3 linked regions of the Lonchura striata genome follow. The main gene of each other region encodes a partner of the protein of the gene in region 2 in a complex. Links are inferred from orthologs where the notes say so. Each region holds a gene or a part of one and is shown on either strand. Other genes may lie near its edges. The genes, in order: ARPC1B, ARPC2 and ARPC3.

Region 1 (9,822 bases), on a different chromosome or scaffold from region 2:
GCTTGCACACCCACCTGTGTGGAGAGGGGGTGGCAACAGAGGGCCAGCATCACCATCCCCGGAGCCCCCCTGGGATTTTGGGGAGCTGGCTGATGTTGGTCAGGGCTCCAAGTGTGCCAGGAGCTGCCCTGGGCCACCATCCTGCAGTAGCAGTTTGGGCATGGGGAATCTATCCCTCCATTTCCCCATATGTCTCCACCTCCAGCTCCTCCAGTCTTGTACTTCCCAATCCATCTGCCATCCATCCATCCATCCATCCATCCATCCATCCATCCCCTCTCTGTTTCCCTCAGGACAGACCCGCTCAGAGCCTCACCAGTCGTTCTCCTGCTCGAAGTAGCAGATGGAGATGAGGCGGGAGCCGCTGCCCACGGCGAATTTGTTCTCCTTGGGGGACCACTTGACGCAGCGGGCAGCGCGGTTGATGCGCAGGATGACCAGGGTGGGCTTCCAGACGTTGCCCTTGAGGGTCCACACGTAGGCGTTGCGGTCGGTCCCGCACGTCACCAGCCGGTTGCTCTCAGGGGCCCAGTCGATGCCTGGAAGGCAGAGGGGGATGATGGTGGCCCATGGTGGCCCAGGGAGCCTCAGGAATGGGAGTGGTGGCACTCAGGGCTGGGGGGTGTCTGAAGGCGTGGTTGTTCTGGGTGGTCTCTGATCCACAGTTCCTCTTTGCTCCACACCATCCCTCTCACCTCAAAGCATTCCATGTCAACCCATCCCACCCCATCTCTCTCATCCATGCATCTCATTCCACCCCACCCCATCCCACCCCATCCCTCATTCCACTCTACCCCATCCCTTCCCTTTCCATCCATCCCACATCATCCCAATCCATCTCACCCCATTTCTCCCATCTGTCCCCATCCCTTCCCATCCCTCTCTCCCTCCTTTCCTCCACCTCATCCCTCTCCATCTCTCCTATCCCATCATCCCACCCCTGGCTGCCTTCAGGTGGACACAACCTGCTCCACTCTCCTCCACCCCCACACGACCCCCATCCACTCTGGGACATGTCCCACAGCTCTGGGACAGCCCAGCCACCATCCGTGTCCCTGTCCCCTCTGCCAGCTGTGGCTCACCTGTCACCTGCCCGTTGTGCTCCTTCAGCTCGTGCACTTTGCTCCACTTGGCCCCATCCTTGCGGTAGATGTGAACTTCGTGGTTGTTGGGGCACAGGGCGATCTCTGGGGGGTGACAGTGGCCAGGGCAAAGCCCTCCCCTGGGTCACCCAGCTCTGCAGGGCCAACCAGCACCCACCCACCCACCCCTTCCTGGGCTCCAGGTCCCCACTGAGCCCCAGCTGCCTGGGGGAGTCCCACAGCCCCCCAGCCCTGGTCCTGCACTGCCCTAATGCTGCAAATTGTCCCTGGGGGAAGGGAGAACCCCACAGCCCAGAGCCATCCCTTCCCTAGGGTGTGGTCCCATGGGGCTGGTGGGATGAGACAGGACAGGATGGGCTAGGATGGGATGGAACAGGACGGCTGGGGGTGCACAGCTCCCAAACCCAGCCCCATCCTGCCTGCCCGGCGCTCGGGCCGCAGCAGAGAAAGCCCTTTTTGTTCTCCGCATCCCCCGGGCCGCGCTCGGGAAATGCCATCGCCCCTGAATCACCCGGCCCCGCTCCCTCCCTCCCTCCCCTGCCGGTGCCTCGGGGCTGGACGCTGTGCCAGGCTCTGTCCCGGCACCGGGGGGACACAGGGGGATGTGCTGTCCCAGCCCCCAAATCTGCCAGATTTGCTTCCCAAATCCAGCCCCAAGCCAGCTCTGCCCCGCCCCGGAGCATCGCCCGCCTCGGGGGTGTTGAGCCAGGACAGTGCCCGGGGATGTCCTCGGGAATTGCGGGGTGCCCCGGGCGTACTCACGGGTGCGGTCCTTGTTCCAGGCATGGCAGCTGATGGGCTCCAGCAGGAAGCTGTGGTAGGCCATGGCTCACGGGCTGGGGACAGGGAGAGACCCCCAGAATGTCAGGACACAGGGACAAGACCCCAGCCCCACAGAATGATCCTTCCCACTGGCATCAGTCCTGTGCTGCAGCCCACCATGTCTCTCCTCCGCCGGGGAGAGGGTTCTCCTGAGGATTTCCAAGCTCAGAAACTGTCCATTTCCAGGATTTTCTAAACCAAACTGGCTGGAACTTGCTGGGCAGGAGCTGGCTGGGCACACAGGGACCCTGGTGCCAGCAGCCCCCTGTGCACCCCTGGGGTCTCACCAGGGGCAGCACCTCCTCTCCCCACCCCAACAGGGCCAGATCCACCCCCTCCTTCCACACCTCTCATTTAGGAAGAGCCAAAGCCCCATGGAGGCCCTTCCATCCCATCAGTGCTCAGCCCTCAGGACCGATCCCTTCTCCTGGCTGAGCTCCCACCATTCCTGCCGGTCCCCAGCTGCCATGGGATGGAGCAGTTTGCCAAAAAAACCCCTCCAAGTGCCACGGCAGCGGGAAGGGCTGGGAGCAGCGTCACAGCCCCTCGGCCATCCGGCCCGGGGAGCGCAGGGATGTAGGGAAACACCTCGCCAGGGCGCGGCTGATGACGGGAATTACTCACAGCCTGCTCTCGGCTATTTTGGGAACTCCTTGAACACGTCCCGTTTTCTTTGGCAACTAAAAACGTTACAGGGGAAAGGAAAAAAGTCCCTCTTAGCAAAGCTCCATCCCTGGGCTGGGGAAACGAAAATCTGCAGAGCTCCATCAGCTGCCTTCTGCATGTGGAGAAATTCCAGTGCTGTCACACAGCCCCTGGCCAAGGACGTGGGCAGGGATGAGGAGGCAGCTGCCGATCCCCCTGGGATGCAGCCCGGGGTGTCCCAAGGAGGGCACAAAGCTGCTGCCACCACGGGCCTCGCCCCCGAGCCCTGCGGATGGAGCAGCACCACGAGGGACGGACAAAACCATCAGCGACATTGCAGGAGATCAGGAGAGGAAAAAGGGATTTGGCCGAAATGGCTCAAAGGGCTCCCTACAGGAGGGATGGGAGGCAGGACCGAGGTGCGTTCTGGCTTCGACACGAAGAAAACAGCAATGCTTTTTCTTTTTCCAGGTGGTTTGGGAGCTCAGAGGCATAAACTCTCCTCCCTGGGGTCCCTGCTGCTCCCTTCTGAGTGCCACCCCGAAGGGACGAGCTCAGCCGCCGTGCCAGGACGGAAGTTTTTGCCAGACACAAAAGGAGCAGTGGGTGGTGTTTTGTTTCCCCCACGGCCCCTTAGAGCCAGTTCCCCATGGGTTCCCCATGGCTGAGTCCTGCCCCCGCCCTGCAGTGACCCTCGGGGGCTCGGCAGCCTCTTCCCCAGCCGGGAAGAGCATCCAGGAGCTGTGGTTACATCCCTCTCCCACCCCCCTCCCCAACCCAGGGGCTCTTGAGGGAGGAAAATGGGAATTTTCCGAAGGCCAGACAGGGCGGGACTGGGAGCTGGAACAGCTCCGTTATCTCCCCGGCCAGTCCAAGCAGCTCGGAAACATCCTGGGAGGAGATAACCAAACCTTGGCAGAGCCGAGAGACTGCCGGGGGCTCCTCCCAGTCCCGGGAGGAAGCCGCACACCGGAGGAGCTGGGGTTTGGGTTTTTACGAGCCTGGCGGGGTGGTGGGAGGAGGGTTCGCACCCAGTGAGGATCCCGCTGGGAGCTGGGACCCCCTGAAACTCTCCCCGGACGCTGTGGTGGAGCCCTGCACCACCAAGACCCCAACACCGACCCCCGGGAGCCGCTCTGCTCCCTGCGGCAGCCGAAGGTGTCACCGCCCGGCTCCTGCCAGCCAGGCTGGGGACTCCCATCCCCAGAGCCCCGTGCTGGTGCCCCGGGAGCCAGCCTGGCCTGAGGGGACACCCCGAGCCAGGGCAGGCGGAGGGCGGCTCTGACCCTCCTCTTCCTCGCACGGGCAAAGCGGGAAGCAGCTGATGCCGAGGAGGGGAGGACAGATTGCGGCAGCTCAGTCTCTGCCGGCACCAACCCCGAGGGGACCCCCACAGGACGACTCTTTCCACCCCCTCAGAGCTGTCAGACCTCCGGCAAGAGAAAAAAAAAAAAAAAAAAAAAAAAAAAAAAAAAAAAAAAAAAAAAAAAAAACCCAACCCAAAAAAAACAACCCTGAAACTTGCTGACAAAGCTGGGAGAAAAGCCCAAAACACCCAAAACGCGGCGACAGCGAAACTCGCAGGGGGCAAGGGGCTGCCTGCACCCCCTGACCCCAGCCCGGGGGGACCCCCCGAACCCTCGGGCGGGCTGTGAGCGCCAGGAGCGGTGACAGCCACAGCCCCACGGGACAGCGGCGGCAGAGCCCGTCCTTACCTTGCCGGGCAGGGCGGGCTGGGCTCCGTTCCTGGCCGGCGGGGCTCGTTCATGGACTCTGGGCAGTCGACACGAACGGAGCCCGGAGCGAGCGGCGGGAGCTGTGCCTGCCCCGCCGAGGCAGCCCGACTTCCCTTTTCCTCTCCGAGAAATGCAACCACTTCCTTACGTGGGCGTTGGGGGAGCGCCGAGCCGCCCAGCCCCTGTGCCTGCGGGCCGGGCCGCTCGGCACCGCCGCACCGGGACGCGCCCCGGCCCCGCGATGCTCCCGGTGCGACGTGGGCAGCTCGCCCGGGTGCTCCAGGGAAGGACACAGCCAGGAGAACAGAAGGGAAGGGTCCCCGCCGTCTCCCTGTGCCAGCGGGTGTTGTTCACCCCCGAGGGATGGGGACTCCCCGATGCTTGCGCTGGCCCCCACCGGGGAGCAGCCGAGCTTGGAGCCCACCCGGGGAGAGACGCTGGTCGGCATCGCCTCCCACGGCCGGGGAGATCCGCAGGAGCCCGCGGAGCCCGATCTGGCCGCCCTCGGCAGCAGCTGCTGCTGGTTCCTGCATCTCACAGAGCCCAGTGGGACCCAGTGCCAGGCTGGCCGCGGTCACCATGCCTGTGTCCCCACGCAGCAGACATCCAGCCCTCTGGTTTTATCACCTCCTGCTTCAGAGCAGCTAGTTTTTATCCCATTCCCGCCTGGATGCACTCAGGCCTTCCCTCCTGGGCATAGGGATGCACTCACTCATCCCCTTTCCCTCTGCTACGCCCCAGGTTCTCTGACTGCAAGAAATGAAACACTTGCTATTTTATGTTTAGAAGGGAGAGGAAATTGTAAAGCCAAGCCCGACTGCCAGGGGAGAAGGTGGGAGACATAAGGAAACCAGAGAAGGATCCAGTTCTGTGATGGAGAACAGTGGCTGCCACTCAGAGCTGACCTTGCACAGCAACAGAGCTGAGAAACGAGCAGGGTATGAAGCAACTTTGGTTCCAGAGGAAGTGGTAAATTTAGTCATTGGGGTTTTTTAAAGACACTTCTGCATTTTCGGCAGAATTGACAGTTTTAAGCTTTGTAAAGCAATGCCATGAGCCAGCTAATCCCCTCAGAGCACAGCAAGGCAGCAGCACCGGGAGGAATACACCCTGTGAATAAAGCTGTGTCCAAATGCCTCCGTGAGCTCCTGAGGCTCCAAGCTGAACTGCAAAAGGTACCTGGGGACAAAGGATCAGCACAGAAGCCAGACCACACCAACACCTCTGGTTGCAGCTTCATTTGCCCACTAGTTGTCATAAATACAGGATTTTATGGGTTGAGAGCTCAGCTCTAACAGGTCACAGAATCCCAGAACCACTGAGGGTAGGAAAAACTTCCAAGTTCAGTAAGTCCAACCTGTGACCAATCTCCACCTTGCCAACCAGCTCAGAGCATCGAGTGCTACATCCAGTCATTCCTTGAACACCTCCAGGGATGGTGATTCCCCAGCCTTGAAGTTTCACAGACTTACCAAGAGATTTGCTTTTAATTTGTCTTCCCCAGACGAGGCTCAGCAGATATTTGTCTCACTTTCCACACAGAGCTTTCCATATTGTCCCACAGGCACTGCCCTGGGAGCAGGCTGGAGACCAATCCCAAAGGCAACCACAGATAATTCTGGTCACTCACCTTTGGAAAAATGTCACTCGCTAAGCAGACAACAAAAAAGACATTCAGATTAATTTGCTGTTGCTATGGATTAAATGCAAGGCAGAGAGAATGAAGAGAAGTAGGATAAAATCATTCATTCTCCAAAATTGTCACCTCAAGGGAAGAATTCTCCTGGAAGAAGCTCATCTGAATCTTCACATCCAGATCACCAGAACTCCAGGTCTGTCAACTTTAGAACCTTTCAGTTCAGATGAACTTCTGCTTTAAGGCCATAAAATATCAGTGCAGGGTTTTCCCCACTCTGTCTCTCTCCCAATTCCCTTAACATCCCTTTTTTAATCAACAAACTTCAAAACAAAGAATCAGTTTTTCTCTTTTTTATTATTATTATTTCTAGCAGACAATTTACATAAAATTCCCCTTTTAAGTTAGTGATTCATAACTTCCTGCAATAAACTACTTAAGGAGCAGCTTTGGTAAAGAATGGAATGAAACAACCAACCAAAAAAAAAAAAAAAAAAAAAGAACAATCACAGCTGATTTTGAAACCAACACAATTCACCAAATTTAGATTCAAAAGAAAAACTGCCAAGCTGTATTTTCTCAGTGTTTCCAAATATTTCACCTTCCTCCTCCCTTTTCAGGTTTGTGCAGATGTGGGAGCTGCATTCTGTCAAGCAGTTTGTCCTGCTAGATCATGGAAATCCATCTTTACATGATTCGTAGCCCTTGGATGGAGGACTCTAAAGTCTTGAAGGAGAGAAAAAAAATCTTAATTACAATCTGCTGTTGTAGCTTGGGCTAAATTAATTCAGTGTAAATGCTAAAAAAAACAAGCAAAAAACATGAATATTTGAAATTAGATTCAGTCATAGAATCCGAGAATGGTTTGGGATCAAAGCTCATCTCATTCAAGCCCCTGCCATGGCAGGGACGCCTTCCACATTCCCAGGTTGCTCCAAGCCCTGTCCAGCCTTGTCTTGGATACTTCCAGGGATCCAGGGGCAGCCACAGTTTCTCTGGGTAACCTGTGCCAGGGCCTCACCACTCTCACAGGGAAGAATTTCTCCTTTAAGTAAAGGATTTCTTCCTAATGCAAGAGGCCAGAGACCACAACAGTTGTTCCTTTCAAACTCAGGCAGGTACCAGCGACACAGACCCAAAACTGCACTAAAGCAGCCTAGAGATCACTTCAACTTCTTGTATGACTCCTGTCCCCACCAGAGCATCCTGGCACCATAGAACACAATCTGTTCTTTCCCTAAATCACATCCCACATCCCAGATCTGGGAAGGCCAACAGGGACCTCTGTTGGCCAGGCCTGAGTAAAGCAAGCATGGGCATTAATACATCCTTTAAGGATTTTCAATATTGCATTTTCCAGCTGTTAGAGACAACTTCTTACTCCTTGGGTAAGTCAGTTCTGAGAGGACAGGACCATGTTCTGCAGCAGGACAATGAGCAGAGTCCCATGGGATGGGAGAAGGGAGAGGCAGGGGGCTGTGTTGTACAAATTGCTCCAGCTCAGTTGTGGCTGAGGCTGGAAAATGAAAGAATTAAGGGGATTCCTACAGGGACATTAAGTAATTCTATTAAAAAAATAAGTCTGTATTAGCACCATCTGCTTAACAAACTGCATCTGCATTTCTGCAGATTCTTGGATCAGTTTTTCTTATGGATTTCACTAATGGTTTTGAATATTCCAGTCTGGATTTCCTGCTGCTACTAAAACCTGGCTTGAGGCTGAGCCCCAGGAGTTGATACTAGAGATTAAAAAAAAAAAATCCACCACCCCAGCTAGTTCACATAAACATGGTAGTAAAAGCACATTTTTACCTTAAAATCCCAGATGGTCATTGCTCCATCGATGCCGGTGGTGCAGAATTTCCGACAATCCCGTTTGTCAATCTCATAAATAGACACTTGGCTGCAAACACAGAGTGAGAGCTCCAACACCCATTCCAGAGAGCCAGAAATCTGGGAAATTTGGGTTGAATTCCACTCCTACTCTTTGGCTGGAGACATGACTATACCAGAGCCTATACCAGATTCTTGGTAGAATGCCTCAGAAAAATAAGCCAAGAAAAAGATGCTGAAAGCTCTTTAATGGCTTGGTGAGACAAAACGTTTTCCTTGAATAAAGAGAAATTGCTCCACATCCCTGCAGATCACATAATTTTTTTAATGCAAAGATATTTTACCCAATTAACCTGAATGAATCTTTTTGATTAACAGAATTGTTGAATGGTCTGGGGTGGAAGGGACCTTAAAACTCATCCAGTCCCACTCCCTACTGTGGGCAGGGACACTTTCCACTGTCCCAGGTTTCTCCAACCTGGCCTCAAAAGCTTCCATGGATGGGACAGCCACAGCTTCTCTGGGCAGCCTGTGCCAAGGGCCTCCCCACCCTCACAGAGAAGGATTTTTCTGTATGTTTAACCTAAATTTCCCTTCTTTCAGTTTGAAAGCAGTGATAAATAATAAATAAATAATACACATGGCAGTAACATCTGAAAAAGGAAGCCGGGATGTGAATTTCAGGTGGATTTTACTGACTGCATTTTGCACAGTGCCATCAGCCTCTTGGGAACTACCAACATATTTGATAAGCTGTGTCCAAGGTACACAACACATCAACCACGAGCAAACAGCTGTAGCCACGTCAATGATTAACCAGCAGCCACGTAAATCCCAGAAACTGAGAGCTGCTAGGGAAAGAGGTACCAGCTACACCCTTCTGGTACAGCAAACCTAAAGGTTTGCAGAACACCCTGGGCGATGGGCACAGAGAACATCCCCTGCCCTGCTGCTGGCAGCAGGACACTCACGTTATACTGTTTTGGTGCAGCGTCTCCAGGGTGGTGTTGCGGTCTTCCGTGGTGGCTCTTTTATCCATGTTGCGGAAGCGCTCCATGGCAGAGATGTTGCGCTGGATGCTCTGTTTGGGAATGTCGAGTTTGGAAACGAAGCTCAGCAAGCCACGGTCGTCACAGTTGAAGAGCATCGGGCAGCAGTCGTGGCCCTGCAAGCAAACACCCGTCAGGAAACACCACCTCAGCATTCCCACCCTGCCCTTCCAACAGGAAAACACTGACAGCAGGGCACAGCTTGTTTAGTATTATTACTAACTGTGCAATATATGGGGTTTTCTCCCCCTCCAAAACACGACAGCTCCGCGAGGAGGAATAGCAGACACTTACAGCTGCCACCACGCTGTTCTCGGAGACAAAGGACACGCTCAGGAGTGGGAGGAACTCTGTTTTCAGCTGCGAAACCCTGAGCACAAGGACATTTGTTAGAGGGATTCAATGAAACTTCTCATTTTAGGCTTCAACAAAAAATAGGCACCCTTCCTACACAAGGATTGTTGGAAAAGTCAAGGTAGCTCGCCTGTCCTGTGGTGACAACAGAAGGTTGTAATTTGTAATAAAAAGTTTCAGCCTAATGAAAGTGTGCTGGAAGATTTATAACAAAGCCAAGTATTTCAGGTGAAAGGCTAACATTACCAAAATTATGCGTAAACAGGGGCAAGAATTCAAAAGGAATACCCCCAAAAACGTGTGTTTCGAGGAAGATACTAATTTCATTTGAATATAAAAAATACTTGAAATGTTGATGCTTGACATCTTTGCAGAAGGAAAAAGCCTTGATGTTCATTTAAGTCAACTTTTGTGATTTAATAACAAATAAAGGGAATTCTAAAATACTTTATAATTAATGATATTCCCTGCCAGGTACTTATACAACCGTACTGATCAGAACCACAATTCAAAATTAATCCCAGCAATGTCTGGATGACCCCCAGAGACTTCTGCTACCAAAACATATGGAGAATCTCATCCTTCCTGGCTGGAAAGCCAAGGACACTGCAAAGTTATGCAGATCGAGAAGAGCAGCAGGAGGA
Region 2 (9,771 bases):
ACACAAAGTCCTCCCTGCCTAGCTTCAGCCAGGGTTCAGCCTCTGTGTCTGAAAGGCTCAGCAGCACACAAGCATCAAGTGACCGCAGGTGGGAAATACCATCAAGCCCGCGGACGCGGCTTCAGCCCAGCTCCTGCCGGCTCACAGGAACCACTCTGCACCAGGGCAATCCAAGCTTCGGTGAATTTCCTATGCAGCTAATGGTCAGGGAGCCCTGCAGAGCTGTACCTACTAATGGCTGTAAAGAAACCAATTTCATTTGAGATTCTCTTCCCTCCGCCCCCAGCCTAGGAAAAGGCACGCTGTACTCGAGCTATGCAAATTTGTGTTCTTTTGCACAGTGGGTAAATAATAAGTAACAGTTTGAGACAGATTATTAATTTACTAAAGATTTTGAGTAAGCTATATGTGACTGGAAAACCAAACCCTAAGACCAAAGCCCTGTGCCACACTTTCCCTAGGGTCAGTTAAATTAAAGCAGGACAAAACTGGATGTCAAATCTGTTAGTGTCAAACAGAATGATTATTCATCAGACGCAGAAGACAATCATTAAAATGTTTTACACTTGAAGTGTTTGTGGGTTTTTTTTTAATGCCTGTGTGATTAGCAAAGGAAAGCAATGATGAGAAACAGGATTTTCCAACTGGTAGAGTTTATCTCCTCACACACAATTCTATCATAAATGGGAAAACCCACGTGTGACACCAGCTTCCAGGCAACATCTCATGTACAAATGAACTAGTCAAAACCTTATGGAAGCTTTCTCTTGACATGTAAAAAAGCTCATAAGCCAACCTCATTTAAATAAACTTATTTCCAGGTACTGACCAGATATTTCACATTGCAGCAGCACATTCCTAACTCAAGTTATTTCAACAGATTCTGGTAACTTTAGGCTTTTATTTTAAAATGTGGTTGGTTTAAGAGAATATATTTAAACACATAAATTACTAGGACTAAGTAAGGAAAAAAAAAATCAGATGCATTGAAGTCCATCATCTGTTACCACCTTGATCTAAACATCATGTTTCAACAGTGGCTGTCCAAGGAGGTGAGATTTCCATGGGTCTTGCCCTGATTTTTTAGCTCTTTTGAAAGTTTTAAAGTTCTCATAAAACTTATTTAGCCTTCTGATAATGTTTACATATTTGAGAGTCAGAGTTCCCACACAATTTCATGTATAAACAGAATAGTTTACATATTTCTTTGTGGGAAGAGAGAATTGATAGACTGTTAGTTTGACCAGTGTGGTTGGAAGGGTGACAATTTCATCCTCCAATCCCACTGTCACTTTTGGAATTCTATATATTGCGAAGTCAGAAATAAAATTAACTCTTTTTCTCTTTTAAACTTAACAAACTTTTGTGTACTCATTTCGTGTCCAATAGCAACACATGGGGACTGTCCACAAAACCAAATTAAATTTGAAATTACCCTATTTACAGGTGGATGCTGCCAAGCCCCAAGGACCTTGTTCAGGGAGTACTCTTAGAGGTGGGTTAGGCCCTGTCTCAAGTGCTGATCTCTGTCTGCAGTCCTGCTGAGGTACCTTTCACACTGGGAAATCCAGGGACAGTTGATGGACCTCTATGCAGAACAGATCTTGACATATATGACAATAATAGCAGTTAATGAATTCCATCTTCTAAATGTGACCTTGTTCTGTATGACAAGGTGAAATGTGGAGTGTCTCCCACCTGATAGCCCAGGAAAGCTCTGCAGGAACCTGTCAAACTATGGCTGCACTGCAGTAGAAGGGAGCGACACAGCCCATGTCACAGGACAAGTATCTGGCAAAGGATCTGGAAAAGAACCCTGCCCTGCCCCATTTTCAGGCTGGTGCTGAAGCTACAAGGCACACCTGGCTCTGAGACAACCACTATTGACAAATCCTGCATTGCATCTGCTGCACTTCTGGTTTAGAGCAAATAATGTAAACCCAGCTCTGCCCCAGTGTCCAGATTCACTCCTCCCAGTCACCAAATTCTTCAAGGTTTGACCTTGCCCTGACTGTCCTGTGTTCAGCCCCAAGATACACCTTGGAAAATCATCATCAAAATAGCAAAATACAGGCAATCCCTTCCTACCTCCAGGCTGAGCACCACAGGAATAACCCCAGAGCTGTGGCCATAGGAAAAAGAAATATCACTTGAATAAATGTTTTGTAACATCTATTCCTTAGAAGACCTGAAAGCAGGAGAAACGTTCCTGCACGTGCCTGGATGGGGGAGCCCAGAACAAGCATGAAGAAAATTCAGAAGTAAATGTCTTCCTCACCATCAGCAACACACTTAAGGCACAAAACTTATCTAGAAACGCCATCTAAAGAACAGAATATGCCATAGATGACTAAAAGGCAGAAGGAGAACACCATCAGCCACCCTACTAATTGATTCGGGAACAGTCAGTATGTCAGGCACACGTGCCCACACACCAGTGAGGTGGCTTTGCCATGCAGCAAAATGGAAATGTCAGGGGCCTGCAGGCTGCTGCAGGGCAAGCAAGTGCAGCTCTGCTCAGAGAGTCAGAGTTTTGGGGTGCATCTAGACCTGCAAGCTGCCCCTCCACGTCAGATCAACACAGGGACACACACACGTTCTTCTCTCTGCATCAGGAAGAGTGGCTTGGCACAGACTAGTGATTGACACGCGGTTCTGACACTCACTGTGAACCTCTGTGCATGCCATATTTTCTAATGGATGTGGCTGCAATACCACAGAGGTCATCTGGGAGCTCTCTCTGCCCAGTGCTGTGCCTGTACTCTGGGGAAACTTGTTGCATTAAATGATCAGGGCTCAAGACAAATCAAAATCTGGGAGAAGCTCAGCAGTCCTCCAAGGCAGAGCAGCCTGCATAATTATTTTATGGAAAAAAAAAGCCCCACCAAAACAAAACACAAATCTGATCAGCAAGTCAACTGAGAGTGGAAGGAAAGCAAACTAAGTGGCCTCTGACAACGTTCTGCACATAAAAGGATGAGAGCTTCAAAAATTGCTGGAGAAAAAGTAACACAGAAAAAGGCACCTGCCCGGGAGGGTCCTTTCCTGGAGCAGCCTGAGCCCTGCCTTGTGAGGTGCCAGGGCAGGCTCCACCCCAGAGATAACACCACTGTGCTCTGCCTCTCAAGGTTTTGTCTGTGTACAAAGGTGTCTCAGGCAGCAGGCAGCAAGTGCATCCAGCCCACAGGCCACTCGGTTGCAGATAAGGACATTCATTCTTAAGGGACTTCCTTCCAAGCTAAGCTGTGTCCTCACAAGCATCTTTACAGCCCTGGTGCAACACTCACAGTAAAAAAAAACACGGGCTCCCCATGGACTGAGATGTTCCAGCTGGAGATGTGGGTGTGAACAAGACCCCCAGGCTGCTCCCCAAGGCCAGGACACCCACCAGGCTGGCACCAGCAGCCATGGCTGACCTGTGCGCCTCTATCCCTTCTGCTCAAAAAAGCTAAGAGGGAGCAAACTGAAATTTGCTCTTCACCCCAAAGCAAAAGGCTGAGGCCATGACTCCATACACAGGCTTCCTGTTCGTCGCCTCCCCCTACACATTCTGTACCAGCGCTGGCAGCACGCTGATGAAGGCCACTTTACCCTGCAAATCCACCTTCCTCCCTTTCCAACTTCCTCCTTCTCCACCCCTGTCCTCCAGTCCACCTCAGCACGGCAATCTCCGGCACCCTTCCCAGACCCGTCCTGCTCCCCCGGGGCTCCCCATTGCTCTGGCACTAGCGACCCCATCCAGCTCCACTCTCCCCTCCGACACTGCCCTGTCCCACTCTGCTCCCTCATTCCCCAGCTTTCCCTCTGCCCAAGCTCTATCCGTCCCGCAGCTCAGCTCCCGCACACTGACCACCCCCCTCCCAGCCTCTGCATCCCGCAGGCTCCCACCCCGTGCCCGCTCTGCCCTCCTCGTTCCCGGGCCGCCCCCCGGTAGCACACTGCCCGCGGGCTCAGTGCCGCTCCCCAGCCCCGCATCCTGCCTTGTCACCTTCCGCCCCGCTCAGCCCCATCCTGTCCCGGCACCACCCGCCGGGCTCTGCTCCGTGCCCGGGTGCCCGGCACGGCCCGGGCCCCGCCAGCCACCGCCCCCTCGCCCCTCCCTCTCTCCGCGGACCCGTCCCCGCCCCGCCCCGGCTCCCCTGCTCCTACCCGGCGGCCGCGCCCTCGAACTTGAGCGTGAGGGTCTCCTCGATGATGCGGTTGTTGACCTCGAGCAGGATCATGTCGGTGCCGGGAGCGGCTCTGAGGGAGCCGAGCCCGCTGCGCGCACCGGGGACCCGCCCGAGCCTGCGCCGCCGCTTCCGCTCTCGCGCCCGCGCGTCACTTCCGGCCCGGCGCCGCCGCCCCGCCCTCGCCGCGCCCACCCGCGATGACGTCACGCGCGGCGGGCGGGCAATGGGGGCGGCCCTTGAGGGCGGGGCGAGGCGATGGGGAGGCTGCTCGGGCACGGGCACCGGCACCGCCGCCAGCCGTGTGAGGCCGGGCGTGGGGCTGAGCCTGCGCTCTGGAAACCCCCCGCAATGTGAGGGTCCCCCCCTCCACACCCCGTTAATTGAATACTCACAGTGCTGGAGGTCCCCGGAACAGTGGAATGCCCTTAGGATCATAGGGACGCTCGAGGAAGTAGTAGGTGTGCCCCAGTGTATGGGGGTCTTACAGGGGAAAATGGTATCTTGTAAAATATATAATTTCAGAGCTACAGGGCCCCAAAAATGTGAGGTGGCACAGGGAGTGGGAGTATCCTAGGGGGGCTGTAAATGGTGCCCTGGATCTTGGGGTTGCCCAAAACTGAGGAGGTGTTCCCACAGAGAATAGGAGTGTCCTTGAGTCTGTGGTGATGCCCAAGGGATATGATGAAGGGATATGATGATGGCACTTACCAGGTGCCCCAAAAACGTGAGGTAGCCCTATGGCTGACAAGCATGGAAAGCTGTGAGGATGGCGGTGCTCAAGGGGTTTGTGAGTGCCCCAGAGTAATGGAGGTGCATGGGGAATGCTCTTGTGTGTAGTTCTCCCCTAAAAGCAGAAGGGATACTCGGAGCCACAGCATTCGCTAAGTCTGCAGGGCTGGCACAGTCTGGCACAGCGGCACGGCTCTGTCTGATGGCATTGATGGCATGGCTTGACTTGGCTTAGCTTGGCAAGGCACAGCCAGGGCAGGAGGGACATAGGACTCTACTCTGGGGGGGTCCCCCACAGCAACCCCCAATGGAGGGCAAGCCAGTCTTGCAGTCCCCGTGTGCATCCCCTAAATGCTGACACCACCTACCGCTCTATCAATGGGGAAACTGAGGCACAGAGCCCTGCATTGCCATCACCCACTGACCATGGCCTCAGAGAGCTCTGCTCTCCTGGGGGGACCGCAGCACACAGGGGTGCCTTGAAGGGGATCCCCTCATCCACTGGAGACCTGGGGACAAATTGGAGACCCCCAGCTGGTGACCCCCGGGGTGCATCATCACAGGAATGACAATGACCCCCTGGGTGCACCCCCAGTGCAGCGTGGCCTGGGACATCTTGGGACAGGAGGCTGACAGGGGTCTGCGGGCTTCCCTTGGACTGGGAAAGGCATCTGTGAGGACCACAGAAGGGTCCCTTTGGCTGCCACTTCCTCTTCATTCTGGGAGAAGATTTTGCAACATTTCCTCCCCGGGCAGTATAAAGTGGGTGGCGGAGGAAAGGGGTACTGGGAGGCGGCACAGCAGCAGGCACAGGTGAGGATCCTCTGGCTGGTGAGACCCCTGGGTCTGGTGCTGCCCTGCATCCCACCACACTTTGAGCCCTTTTGGGGTGACATCTGGATTTAAACTCATACTTGTGTGCTTCCCAGTGAGAAACAGCTTGGGATCAAGAGAAGACTCCACATTTGAGGGGACGGCAACAGCAGCAAGCAGTGAGTCCATGGGGTGCACCACTGGAGATTGTGGCTTTCCTTGGGCTTTGACAGCCCCACATCACTCATCTGAGCCCCTTCACATGTGGAGCAGCCTGGGAGCTGGGGTGGGTTGGTCCAGCTGCCCAAGAGGCTGCTTGGTAGAGGGAGATGGTGGGTGAGAGCAACCAAGGCTGTGCTGTGGGATCATCTGGGGTGCAATCCCTCCATAGTCCCCAGGGACATCAGCCTTGGGTGCCATTGGGAAAAATACCTGCTCCCATTTCCTTGCACAGCGATGAGCTAGGAGGATCCTTCCCCATGGCATGTCCCCACTGGGAGCCCCAGGCCCCCCACATTGTGCCCCAGCCCTGCCAGGGTCAGGAGGGGAAATGGAGTGCTGCTTGTTCCCCTCATCTGGGCCAGCTGTGGGGATCTATCTGTGTGTGTTATACCTGGGGAATACCCATTTCCAGAGGAACCACCAGAATTTTGGAGTGGGGAAGCAGAAAGCAGCAGCCAGAAATAGATGGAGGGGAAGCACTTGCATCAGGCTCTGCCCCATGCCTGGGGAGCTCCACTTGGGAGGACATTCCCCCATCAGCACTGGCAGCATGCCTGGTTGCATTTCTCCGGGATGCTGATGTTTCCATATCCCAGCATCACCACCCTGGGGTCACCATCCCAGGATTTCCATCCCTGGATCACTGCAAGAGAGGATACAGCAGAGCCAGGGAGAGAGTGGCACCAGCCCAGCTGCGGCAGGGGATTCAAATCAGGCAAAGGGAAAAGTTGGTTCTAGGAATGGTTTGTGTTCAAACAGGGCCAGTTTGGAGGTGGGTAGCAGCACCCCAAGCAGTCCTGGCATCTCCAAGCCCTGGAGGGGTTGCGGGCTCAGAAATGGGACCAAGGGGTGAAACTGGAGTGGAACAAGAGTCCAGATCCATTCTGGGAGAAGACTGAAAGCCTGTGGTCTTTGGGGAGGCAGGACCAGAGCAAGCTCACCGTCTCCTATGTGTGAGGAGACAGGAAAAGCAACTGCCACCTGTGATTTCCCCATTTTGGCCAAGCACGGGGGTACACAGCAGTGCCCAGCTGAGCAACAGGAAAACCAGAGATGTAACATTTCCAAAGCTGCCTGCAAAGTGTGACATGTCTTTCCGCCTGGGGTGTGAAACCACTCCCGCAGGAGCAAGACCAGGAGGTGAAAGAAGGACACAAAAACACCTTCAGACCTTCTTGAGTGCTGCCTGCCCCAGCCACCATGACCACAGCCTTGCTGCTGGCTGACATGGCAGGAGGGGCAGCTCCGTTCCAGGCATCACAGCAGCAATGCTTGAGGGGGTGGAGAGGCTGGAGGGATACAGGGATACTTGAAGAACTTTGGAGGTGTGTGAGGGGCTCTGACATGCCCAAAGAGCTTAGAGGCTTTTGAAGGAAGCAGGATAGCCCAGGGTTTCTGGAGGAGCCAGATGTCTCCTGGAGGGATGTGATGCTACATTGATGGAGAAGCCCCCAAACTCTGAAGAGGTGATCAGTCTATGGGGGAACCTTTTCTTCCACAAGAGTCAGGAAATGGACAGGACTGGGGTGAAATGCAGGAGAATGAGGCATGCAGGGGGTGTTTTACAAGGGGGTATATGAGGAACAGTGTCTACCTGCATACTGACCATTACCTGGCACAGTGTGGAATGCTGTGTCCTCCATCACAGTGATGAAGGACAGCTGCCCACTGGCTGGGAGAGTACCTGGGGGCCAACAGAAATGCCAGAGGATCCAGAGATACTGTCACCCCTGGTCCACAGCACTACCACCCCATGCTCATGCCATTTTGTGCTCCACAGGCAAAATGGAGCCCTTGTCCTACAGTGGAGATTTCTCCAACCTCTTCTTCTTTTACAACTACACCTATGACTACAGCACAGCCATGCCTGACACTGCTATCTCATCCTCTCCGTGCCGGCCTGAAAACTCTGCCCTCAACAAGTACCTGGTGGTGGTGATCTACTGCCTCGTCTTCATCCTCAGTGTGGTGGGGAATGGGCTGGTGGTGCTGGTGGTGACCTCCACCCACACCAGCCGCTCCGTCACCGACGTCTACCTGCTCAACCTGGCCGTGGCAGACCTGCTCTTTGCTTTGACCCTGCCGCTTTGGGCAGCCTACCGAGCCCACGAGTGGGTCTTTGGCACTGTGATGTGCAAAGCCATCTCTGTGCTGCAGGAAGCCAACTTCTACAGCGGCATCCTTCTGCTGGCCTGCATTAGTGTGGACCGCTACCTGGCCATTGTCTATGCCACACGGGCTGCCACTGAGAAGAGGCACTGGGTGAAGTTTGTCTGCTTGGGCATCTGGGTCTTCTCCATACTGCTCTCCCTGCCCGTGCTGCTCTTCCGTGAGGCTTTCCGCTCTCCCAACAATGGCACCGTGTGCTATGAGCGCATCAGTGGCGAGGACACGGCCAAGTGGCGGGTAGTGCTGCGGATCCTGCCGCAGACATTCGGCTTTGCCTTGCCCCTCCTGGTGATGCTCTTCTGTTATGGTGTCACCATCCATACCCTCCTGCAGACCAAAAATGCTCAGAAGCAGCGGGCCATGAAGGTCATCTTTGCTGTGGTGCTGGTCTTCCTCATCTGCTGGCTGCCCTACAACATCACCCTAGTGAGCGACACCCTCATGAGGACGCGGGCCATTGCTGAGACCTGTGAGAGGAGGAACCGCATCGACACAACCCTCTCTGTCACGCAGGTCCTGGGCTTTGCCCACAGCTGCATCAACCCTATCATCTACGCCTTCATCGGTCAAAAGTTTCGCAACAGCTTCCTCAAGATCCTGGCGCAGCGTGGGCTGATCAGCAAGGATGCTGTTGCCCGCTATGGCCGTGCCTCCTATGCCTCCACCTCTGGCAATACATCCACCACCCTCTGAGCCCTTCTGGGACCCAGCCTTTGTGGGTACCAGCAGGTCCCAGCACCCCACACACCTCAGCATCATCATCCAGTCCCCTGGCATGTGGGTGGTCATGCCATAGGGATGGGCAGGGCCACCACTGGATGTTGGACCCCAATTAGAAGGGGGCTTGGGTAGCACGGTGGTAGGACCCCATTGCCAGGGGAGTGATGTCAAGTGTCCACCCTCCCCCCTCTTTGGGACAAAGCCTGTGACCCTGTGGATTCTGTGAGCCTGCTGTGAAGATGGTGTATTTACCCAATGACCATCGAGCAATAAAGGAGTTGGTCGGTTGGTCACCCATGTCTGGCTCCTCTTTGCCACGGACGGGACACAGCAGGACAGGGCCAGGGCACCTCTCTGGGGACAGTGCCAAAACAGTGCTGCCTGCTGAGCCTGTCAGAGTGTGGGTAACTCTTCTTCCAGGACAGGGTGTGACATTCTGTGCATCCCCACAGGGGACCCAAGGCCAAGTTTTGCTTCCTACAGTTCCCCAGACAGGTCCTGGCATTTCCATGGTCTCTATGTGGAGTCTATCCCACCTGAGGACAAAGTCATTCCCTTCCCAACCCCAGTCTCAACCCCAGCAGAGCAAATCACTGAAAGATCTCTGAGGAGCCCCTCACACTAAACCAGCCCTGTGACCCCTGCCTGAAGGGTACCGGCATCCCCACTCCTCCCAGCCATGGTGTCAGAACATTGTTGTGCAAAGGGCTGGGAACCTGTCCCTTACACAACCGGGATGTTTCCGCTCTGGCTTGGGCAATTGGGGCTGACACTTGACTGGGGTTGAGGAGCTGAAGAAGGGACTGTGACCCTGCTGAGTACTCTCCTGCCACTCTGTGTGCCAGGCCTCAGGATGCCTGCCCCAGCACACCTACACATCTTTCCACTGGAGTCCCATATTGCTCCTCCATTGACCTTGATCCAAGTTCCTAGAGGCTCATAACCA
Region 3 (9,996 bases), on a different chromosome or scaffold from region 2:
CAAAAGACAAAACATCTTGCTGTGGAAATGCTTAAAGTTGTTGCCACTTTGCTTCACTGCCCAGGGCCTGAGAGACTCTTGTTCATGAACTGCCTCTTCACAAAGCAGATCCACCACTGCAGAAGGAAGTACAGAGTCAGAAAATCAGAAGTGGTTTCCAATGACTGAAGTATTCAATCTCTGACACAAAACAAATATTTTACACATAGTTTTACACACTGGTTTCTACTTAAATTGAGGTGAACAAGACAACAGGAATGGACACAATGAGTTCATATTACAGGACTTATGGGAAATTCTACTTTGTCTTATTTTACTTTTATTGTATTTTATCATAAATGAGGGATGCATCAGGAAGCTATGCCTTTGAAAGTAAATTTGCCTAAGTGATTTTGACACTAAATGCAGTCACATTTGCACATGAAACATGTGAACACTCAGGAGGTGACTCATTCATTGATTAGCGATTTTTTCAATCTGGACATGAGGCAAAACAATCGACTTCAAAGCAGCTCTCACATCAGAGCTGCAGGGAAGAGACACAGCACCTCTCCTGCTTGTGAACTCCATTTGCAACCCCAGCCACGAGCAGATGTGCAGTGCTTTGAAGAGCTGAACCAGACACCTCTTATTACTGCCCTGCTTTTGAAAGCAACCCAAAGTGGCATTCACTGTCATATCACATTAGATTAAACTTATTGATAACTTGCAGCTGCCATTTCACTGCAGAATCAGACAGGCTTGGCTGAAGTTTCTCACCCCCTTGTCTCACTTCTCACGTAGCTGAACAAACTCCCCCAAGCTCTCACTAACTCCGTGCTGATGCCACTGAGGTCTCACCTTGCTTGGCTTGTCGCTCTGAGGATCAAACACTTTGTCACAAAGGCGAAGGCCGGTTTCTTGCCTCAGCTGCTGCAGGTAGGCCCTCATCACCTCTGAAAGCAGCACAGCAAAACCAAGCTAAACTGGGCAGCACCAACCCAAACTGGATTTAACAGGGACACATCAGACATCGCTGCTTAAAGCAGAGAGGGAGTTTCACATCTGCAGGCACTCCCAGCTGGCTGAGTTGATTAGCTCGATTTATCTATAGAACCAGGGGAATCCTCAAGGTCAGAAAATCCAGCTTGTGCTGCCTTCAGAAGACAGACTGCAGATTTAGAAGATTTAGGTTTAAAGTAACTAACTGCAGTCATAAAAGTGCAGTTAATCAAGTGTGACCCTCAGAGGCCCTGGGTCAGCCTTACCTTCCTCCTGCTTGTTGGCAGGTTTGGCATAAATGGCGTTCAGTGGAAAGCCAGGCTCCCCTGGGATTGGGAAGTTAGTGATTCCTAGTGTGTACATTTCCTTCTCTCCCTGGCCTTTGGAGTTGCACTGGAAGAACCAGGCAAACAATGGGTTAGCAGTTATGAACAAAAACTGACACAGCATTAGACCCAAATATTTTACAAATCTGGAATATGAATACTCATCAAGAGCAACACAGCACATCCACAGCCTTGAGGTATTGGAGGCTCTGACAACTGGGACTGGGGTGAACAGGATTATCTGTTCCCCTGGAAGGAGAATATCAGGAAATCCTTTCCTTAGAACAATTCTCAGAACAGACTGTTTCCCACCTGCACAGGAATTCAGTTTTCTTACCTTTTGCAGCTTTTTCAGGCACTCAGAAATGTAGAGGGTCACATAGATCAGTGTTCTGTCAGCTTCATTCTGCAAAACAAGAGCAGGAACTCTTAGATGACAGCACTTTGTGGAACTGATAAAGTCTGAAACAGGAATTAATTCAAGCCATTTTGGGCTATAGTTTCCCCATGAGAGAGAGATTTGCAATTCATGACATTTACCCAACTTTAAAGATTAAGTGGAAGGGGAGTTTTTGTGATCTTCTTAAAATTACTTCCTTGAAAATAAATTTATATTCACAGAACCAACCCTCCAAAGAACTAGAATATACTCAGTATCTCAAAAAATTACCTTAATTTCATAATTTTTGAAGAAAACATTAGCTTTGAAGTAGTAGATGGCTTCATCTATAATATCTGTGTCCTTAGCTATAAAGAAGAGATAGAGTTAAGGAGTGCTCTGTTACACTACATTTGTCATAACTTTTACTCATTGAAATATATAAATAAGGATTACTGCAAGAACAAAACCATGGTATTTACAAAAAGCAGAAGTCAGCACCACGTAACAGAAAACTTCTGAAACACCATGAGTTCAGACTGTAATATTTAAGCTTCCTACTCCTTTCTCCTTCCCCTCTGATATGTCACTTCACAAATAGCAGCAATTCAGCAGTTCCTCACTTTTCTACCACTTTTGAGTAACTCATCACAGTTTTAACATCATAAAAGGATAGAAAAAAAGTTTTTGGAGAAAGCACATCACTCGGATTCCATTATCCTCTTCAAATAAAGGAGGGGGGCAGAACACAGTGACAATCTGACCTTTGTTACCATCCAAGACTGCTTAAATCCAGAAACGTTTCCTTTCCATTTCCCTTTCCAAACTGAATCCCACATTTCTGGGGAATACCACACCTGGGAAGTTCAGGTGTTGAAAGGGAACGTGTGCCTGTGGGCCCTCTCGGGGTGCCTGGAACTTCACTGCAGTTTTTGAAGCCCCACACCCGTAAGTGCTGCTGTCCCTCAGAGCAGCCCAGAGCACGAGTTCTCTGCAGCTGAACCACTTCCTCTGACACAGAGGCTTCACACCACCACAGCCTCCTCAAAACCCTGCTCAGGAGCACAGGGGGAGGCACCAGAACAGCAGCCAGAGGCTTGGATTACTGAAACCCCTAACTCAGCACAACACGGAGCACAATTATCTGTGCATAATTATTTTCTACAATTTGCACAACTGAAGTAGTTGAAAACTTTCCTCCTCTCTAAACTGCGAATCTTTCTATTTCCCACCAGTGATTCTTCTCATCACTCTTAATGGGGTTGTCTTAGAGCAACCCCTGAGGTGATGAGCTACATCCAGTAATTCAGAGATTATTATAATCTTACTTTCTCGAGGTGCTGGGCCCTTGAACTGGCTTCTGATGGGTAACAGTGCCATGTTCCCAATCAGCTTGGTGTCTGAGTCCATTAAAGTGGAGTGGTAAGCCTAGAGACAGGGAGAGCTGGTTATTGATCCTACTGAAAATGGACATTTCCATATCCATTCACATGTCTTCATCAAACAGGAGTCACAGCCTAGTTCATTATGATGCTTCCATCATTTTTTCCTTGCACAAGCAATTGCTATTTTCTCTTTAGGTCCAGATCTTAGTGCCATTCTGGTGAAGACCAGGAAAGCACCAGGAGATGGGATAAAATCTGTGTTGTTGGTCTGCAGGCACAGTTCATCCCCAGGCTGCCTCATCCTGTTACCCCATCCTGGCTGCACCAAGGGGTAACAGCCCTGCTCACCTGCCTGAGTTTTGGGGCATTGCACTGAAAGTTAGTTGGTCATTAAAAAATAGGTAATTTAATTCCACGACTGGCTATTAATAGTAGATAATTATAAATAAAAGCAGGCTCAGTGCAGTAAAAAAAAAAATCAACAAAAGCAACAAAAGTGATTTAAGTGACAAACAAACCAGCTTTCCGCATACAACAAATTCTCCCTGAAAAACCGATTTTAAACAACTAAGGAGTTTAGTTCTAGGCACTTTCCAAGGTGCTGTGCAAGCCACTGGGAATCCCTCATCTCACAACCCACCCTCTGTGGGGGGGCAGAGGAGGATGTGACTGGGAGAGGCTGGATGTATAAAAAGCAGTTTATTTCACTGAGAGGTGGCGTGAGCAAAGCCGGGGCAAAGCCCTGCTGTGACCGCCCTCTCCCCCGCTGCTGCCGGGGCTCGCACCCTCCCGGCTGCGGGTGGATCCCTGGCAGGGGGAGGAGGAGGAGGAAGAGGAAGAGGAAGGCGCTGCCTTGCAGCAGCCTCCCATGAAGAGCCATCCCCGCTCTCAGCAGCGCTCCCCGCAGCTGCAGCCCCTCGTTCCCCCGCAGTGCCCCGGCCGGACCCCGCAGCGAGCAGAGCCCGTTCCCCGGCCGGGATCGCCGCCCCCGGCCCCGCCGCCCCGCGCCCTCCCGCCCGCGCTGCCGCCGCCGGGGCCGCGCGGCGCCGGGCGCGGAGCCGCTCACCGGCATCTCGAAGGGCAGCAGGCGGCTCGGCGGGGCCGGGCGGGAGGGGAGCGGGGCGAGCCGGGCAGGACAGCGGGCACAGAGCTTCCTCCTCCGCTACGCTGCAGGAAATGAGGCAGCGGCAGAGGCGGTGCGAGGAGGAGCCGCGCACCGCCCCGGAGGCAGCGCACCGGGAAGGGATCCCGGGAGGCAGCGCCGTGCCCCGGCACTGCCCGTACGGGGAGCGGCCACGGAGAGGCACTGCTGTCCCAGGGCACTGCCGGTCCCGGGAGGGGCACCGCCCGCTCGGGGAAGGGGTCCCGGGATGCTTCGCTGGCCGCTGGTTTTCTCCCCTGGGTGTTTCCAGCACGGCACTTCGTGCAAGGAAACACAAAACGGGTCCAAACGCGCTGTGTTCAGAGGGACACACTATTTTAGGGTGCACACTCAAATTGCTATCAATTGCTTCCCTGATATCCAGCGTTGCTGAAATTGTTCCCTGGTATCTGACTCCCGGCATGAGTCAGGGAGACAAAGTGGGGAGGTTTGGAAGGTGAGTCACAATAATTCAACTGCAAGGCTGGGGTTTATCCTTTCAACATGCCCTAAGCGTGGCTCGTCCCAGTGGCAGTCTGGAGGTGAATTAAACCACGGTGGTTTCCCCAGCTTTTGAATGGTTTAATTCAGTCAGATCAAGACCTGCCACATACAGATTTTTCTGAGTCTTTTTCCTCAATATATTTTGAGGATTTGCTGGTCTGTTGAACCTCTTGCCCGTTTCTGGTTCTGCTTGTTTATATGTACTAACACTGGCCTATGTATTTTATAACACACCCAAGCATAGTAAAAAAAATTGTTTATTAAAGTAGTTACGAGGTCATATAACTCACTCTCCATTATAAATATTAGTTATTTTACAGATAAAACATCAGGCGTGTTTGTGTAGGGGTTGGGGGGTTTTTATTTTATTTTTATTTTTTATCAAAAACAAAGTATTTTCCTCAGAGTTTGAACATGTTTCTTACTCATCCACATGATCTTGAAAGTATTCATCCACAAGAGCAGATTTATCTTCTTCACATTCCTGTCAAAAAAAACCCCAGAAAAACATAAACCTTCCTGGTCTGAACACAGGAATCATTAGGGGACTTTGAACAGTCATGCAGGAAAAAATCTTGGTGATCTCAGTGGTCCTTTCTGGTATTTGAAGGTTAAAACTCTGTTAATTTTGAAAACCAAACCAATACTTTTAAACAACCACTTGATCAACCTGCATATGCAAGATTATATTAAAGAATTTCATTTCTATAACTAAATGAAGATGATACAAGCATTACCACTGAAAGACTAAACACAGCTTATTTTGAACCGTACAAAGAGAATAATTTATTAGCAAAGCAAAGAACATACTTATATCACAACTTCTCTTATGGATACTTTCTAATTTTTCATCTTCTCAGCAACAGTCCCTTACCTTTGGTTCTTTAAATTCCAGATCTTCTCCATACTGAATGGTGAAGTCTATGTGCTGCAGAATGATGTTTATGCTTTCCTCATCAGAGCGATCCAAAGGCAGGAATCGAACCATGCCATAATCATCAATCTACAGAAGGGAAATGCAGAAAGTTCATTCTCAATCACAGCACTCAAAGCCTCTTCCTTAAACCACTCTTTTCTGGACTTCTAAAATAGCATTTAAACTCACACTGCAAACCAATGGCAATTCCCAGTTCCCCACTCAGAACACCTGGCTACCAATCCTAAATTCTATGCAGCAGCAAATTCCCAAAATTGCCGACAGAAAAGAATTCAAAGAAAATGTATTGGCTATAATCCAGATATCAAGAGTATCTTATCAGTAGTATCAAGAATCTCATGCTAATCTGAAAAAACAAAAAAATATTAGTTAAGCAAAAAGTGATAGTGAATTTTAGGGCACTAGCTCAAAAGCAATGTACCTACCAATCCACATATAGATTTGGTCAGTTTTTTAAACCTTTTGCTTTTCAATATATTTGTAGAATCTTCAATCATAGAATACATATCTGGATCCAAGTACCTGGAGAAACAAAGTCATCATCAACATTGAAAGTCTGTCATTCAAAGTGACACAAAAGATCCAAGATAATTATTTACAGAAATAGCCAGAGATCAGTACAAACATGGAGCTATTTTTCTGACTCTGACTAAATTAAGCATCCTACCCAATGTTTAGAGATTATTGTTTGAAACAAAATCCATCTTCTCCCATTCCAAATGAGTAGGTTTTAATTGTGGGAAACATGACTCAAGTGAACTTTGTTTCAGTATATTGTACCACAGAGTAAATAATTTTTTGGAACTCACTTTTCTATTTCCTTCTTGGCTTTCTTGCTCAGCAAATCCATTTTGGTCATGACGTTAATCTGTGGAATCTCCAAAGATATCATTGCACTGAGGGCTGCCAGGATTCCAGAAATAAACTTGAAGAGGATGAAAAATGATGTATTAAAGTACACAAAAACAGAACACAAACATGCAGGACACTCAACCACAGGCCAAATCTGGTAATGAATATATGGAACATGGACACAAAGCCATATGAGGAATCATTCTCTCTGTTGAAAAGAGGAAGTGGAAAAATTTTTGGAGCCTCAAATATGGATCTGCCACTGAAAAGGACATTAAGAAAACCAAAACCCTTCTTGGAATAGTTACTGCTAAATGGGGATGGTGGCCTGCTTGTTCTTGGGATCTGAGAAAGCTCTCATGGAATCACAGAAGAATTTAGGTTGGAAGGGACTTCTGGAGGTTATCTGGCTCCTACAACTGCTCAAACAGAAGCACTTCCAGGTCAGAGCAGGCTGCTCTGGGGTTTGCCCAGTCAAGTTTTGACTCTGTGAACATTCACTGCACAATCCCTCTGTGCCTGTCCCAGTCTGTTCACTCTCCCAGTGCTGCTTTACATCCACCTGGGATTGTCCTTGCTGCAGGCTGTGTCTGAGGCAGCTGATGACAGCAACCACATCTCCCTGCACCTGGCAATTTTCCCTCTGGGCAAACCCAGCTCCCTGAATGGCTAAGACTTCTTGTTCTTTATTAAAATGAACTTTATCAACAGATTTCAAATGGATACCTTGAAAGATTCCACCATGAACTGAGAATCCACAAGGAAAACTCCACAGACACGGAATTCCCACTGCTGCAGCTGCTCCACCAACTGTTTCATCACTGGCAGGTGTGTGTAGAGTTCAATCTGACCTGGAGCACACTCAGGATGTTAACAGGTAGGAATGTGAAGCAAACAAGAACAGTACACAGTTATATTTAGACATGGGAACTGCACTTAAATAAAAACTAGTAAGGAAAGCACCTTCTTTTGAGGAAGCCTGTGTTTGAGTGAAATAGAAAAGAAATAAAAGGAGGTTTTTTCCTCCTTTGGTCCCCAGTTAGTGTTAGTTTGCAGTTGCCACAGCTCATGATGCTACCAAATAGCTGCGCAGTCACCCAGATCAGCCCAGGACCAAGTTCACTCCTGAGACACCTGAAAGTGACTCTGACAACTGATAATAGCTGAACAAAATGGGAATTATCACAACCTCCACAACCACATTTTCCAATTTGCGAATTTTCCAACGCTTATGAAGAGTGATGCCAAAACATTGGTGTGGCTTTACCTGGGCAATCAAACAAAACATAGTCATCCTCCACGTGCCCGAGGCTCTCCTCCAGCCAGCTGAAGTTATTGGCAAAGTATTCCATGCAAAACACCAAGCCACCATTGGGGCCAAACCTCAAGGACTCATCTTCCATGACATCGTCCACCTCTATCAGCTCGCGGATGTCTGCGACAACACAAACGGCCCCAAAGGCAGGGAATGAACTCTGGCAGCTGAGGAAACTTCACAGCAGTGCTGGGTGCAGGGGGATCTCCCTGGCACAGGCACAGCCAGCACCAAACACAACACGTTATGTTCAGGAAAGTTAAACAGGTAAATATAAGCTAAATACTTCCCGGGATTTATTGGGGAGGGTCTTTTGAGGGTTCCTGGTGATTGTCTAGGAAACATCTCATTCCCCAAGATTTTCCTCTTATGGTCTAATGAATATCTCCTCCTGAAAGTATCTCATCTATGTGGGCAGGTCAGGGTGTGCTTTTATCATCTTTGTTCAGATACAAACACTGCTGTTTTTCTTGAAACTGAGGCATCTGCCAGTACCTATCAATCACTGGTGTAGGTAAATACAGGGATTGAGAGTGCATCAACCTCTGACATAGGCACTGAGCATTATTTGCCAGCAGACCAGAATTATTCCTTAATTTACGGATCACACGTTACTTTATTAAAACGATTTTCCAACATCTTCCCCCGGCGCTGCACGGGCTCCGTTTTGGAGGACAGAACGGGTCCGGTCGCACGCTCTCGGGGCAGCCGGAGCCCAGCCGTGCCCGGGGCCGCCGCTCACCTGCCATGACGGGGTAGCTGAAGAGCTCGGCCGCCGGGTCCAGGTTCACCACCTGCACGGCGCGGCCCAGCGCCTCGCAGTGCTGCACCATGGTGGAGCAGTACGTGCTCTGCAAGGCACACGCGGCCGTCAGGAGCCGGCAGGGAGCTCCCTCCGCCCGCCCTTCCCCGCTATTCCCCGCTCACCTTCCCGCTGCCCGCCGGGCCCATCACCAGCTGCGCGTACCGGGGCATGGCTGCGGCGGCCCGGCGGGGAATGGCCGCTGCGGCGGCCCGTAGCCCGGCCGGCTCCGCGGCACGGCCCCGCCCGCCGCCGTACGGCGAGCCGGCGGGGTCAAACCGTGCCCGCCCCTCTCGCGAGACGGCGGCGCTGGGGCGGGCGCACGTGCGCGCGCGGTGAGGGACCGGGACCGGGACCCGCCGCGGCCCGAGGGGCCTCCGGTAACACCGACACCGCCCCCGGGCCCCCCCGCGCAGCCCCCGCCTGCCGGCTCCCACACGCGCCCGCTCCCGCTCCGCCCCTGGCGGGGATCCCCCCGGTGCTTGTACCGAGCATCCTCCCGGCGCCCTCCGTTCCGTCAGCGCCGGCACCGCCCCGCGCCGCCAGCCCGTCCCTCCTCAGGTACCCGACCCGCATCCCCCGGCTGCCCCCCATCCCCTCAGCTCTGCCCCCGCGAATCCCCCCGGCCGTGCCCGGTGTCCCGGCTCCCTTCCCCCGGGCCGCCCTCGCTTTTCCCCGTGACGCCCGGCATAGCCCCGCGCCCCTCTGGGGTGTTCGCCCGGCTCCCCCAGCCGCGCTGTGCCCCTGTGCCTGTCCCCTGCCCTGACCCACCGCCTCTGGAGTTCCCTCCGCGTTCCCCACTGCTCAGCACAGCTCGCACCACATCCTGAGCTCCGTCACACGTACCCCCTGCGTTCCCATCCTCTGCGGGATTTCTTATGTGTTCCAAATTCTTTCCTTGTTGACTCCTGTCTTCTAAGTCCCTTGCTTGAAAACGTGTGTGTAGACCACTATTAAATCCATTAGTGCCTTGAGTTTGCTTTCCTTTTTTTACCCTCTGTTGTTTTTTTTCCCAGTGTTCTTGGATCAGATAGTGACTCTTCAGGCACTGATTTAAATGACCCCTTTCCTTTGCTAATATGCAAGAGGTGCCTGCCTCCAGTGTCCCCACTGCTCGTGTGCACTGATTTAACATGATACTTGTCCTTAACCCAGTGTGTTCTGTAATTCCATGTGGGTTTCTGAAAGATTTTTCTTCATTTCGTGGCGCTTTGGCTGCTTTCCCCTTACATGCTAGAATTCCAGTACTGCTTGGCATCCTTTGAAGCAGTTTCCCCATGTTTTCATATGTTTGGCTCCCATTTTCCTCGCCCTGATCTCTCACTCTCTTTTGACACTTCCCCTGTTTCCTGTGGCACTCTTTGAGCTGGGAGG

What was found.
Region 1: ARPC2 (region 2) and ARPC1B share a complex: the UniProt entries of both Homo sapiens proteins name them as parts of the arp2/3 complex. The link is inferred for Lonchura striata from reciprocal best matches to the Homo sapiens genes ARPC2 and ARPC1B.
Region 3: ARPC2 (region 2) and ARPC3 share a complex: the UniProt entries of both Homo sapiens proteins name them as parts of the arp2/3 complex. The link is inferred for Lonchura striata from reciprocal best matches to the Homo sapiens genes ARPC2 and ARPC3.

Annotation. Positions count from the first base shown.
Region 1 is NC_134618.1:14,898,784-14,908,605, reverse strand, and holds the start of ARPC1B (actin-related protein 2/3 complex subunit 1B), read right to left. Parts: upstream 4,408-9,822; 5' UTR 4,286-4,407; intron 2,587-4,285; exon of another isoform or gene 2,550-2,586; intron 1,940-2,549; 5' UTR 1,930-1,939; coding exon 1,866-1,929; intron 1,188-1,865; coding exon 1,083-1,187; intron 540-1,082; coding exon 317-539; intron 15-316; coding exon 1-14. Other genes in the region: ARPC1A (actin-related protein 2/3 complex subunit 1A), read right to left, coding at 6,630-6,668, 7,755-7,845, 8,747-8,940, 9,119-9,194. UniProt on the Homo sapiens protein: Component of the Arp2/3 complex, a multiprotein complex that mediates actin polymerization upon stimulation by nucleation-promoting factor (NPF).
Region 2 is NC_134610.1:15,527,509-15,537,279, reverse strand, and holds the start of ARPC2 (actin-related protein 2/3 complex subunit 2), read right to left. Parts: upstream 4,344-9,771; 5' UTR 4,224-4,343; coding exon 4,150-4,223; intron 1-4,149. Other genes in the region: C-X-C chemokine receptor type 2, read left to right, coding at 7,722-8,798. UniProt on the Homo sapiens protein: Actin-binding component of the Arp2/3 complex, a multiprotein complex that mediates actin polymerization upon stimulation by nucleation-promoting factor (NPF).
Region 3 is NC_134620.1:12,737,591-12,747,586, forward strand, and holds the start of ARPC3 (actin-related protein 2/3 complex subunit 3), read right to left. Parts: upstream 4,249-9,996; 5' UTR 4,144-4,248; coding exon 4,138-4,143; intron 3,353-4,137; exon of another isoform or gene 3,267-3,352; intron 3,115-3,266; coding exon 3,015-3,114; intron 2,055-3,014; coding exon 1,978-2,054; intron 1,714-1,977; coding exon 1,645-1,713; intron 1,375-1,644; coding exon 1,248-1,374; intron 936-1,247; coding exon 841-935; intron 117-840; coding exon 54-116; 3' UTR 1-53. Other genes in the region: GPN3 (GPN-loop GTPase 3), read right to left, coding at 5,138-5,200, 5,591-5,719, 6,079-6,175, 6,463-6,578, 7,232-7,356, 7,773-7,940, 8,563-8,671, 8,748-8,795; DENR (density-regulated protein), read left to right, coding at 8,067-8,087. UniProt on the Homo sapiens protein: Component of the Arp2/3 complex, a multiprotein complex that mediates actin polymerization upon stimulation by nucleation-promoting factor (NPF).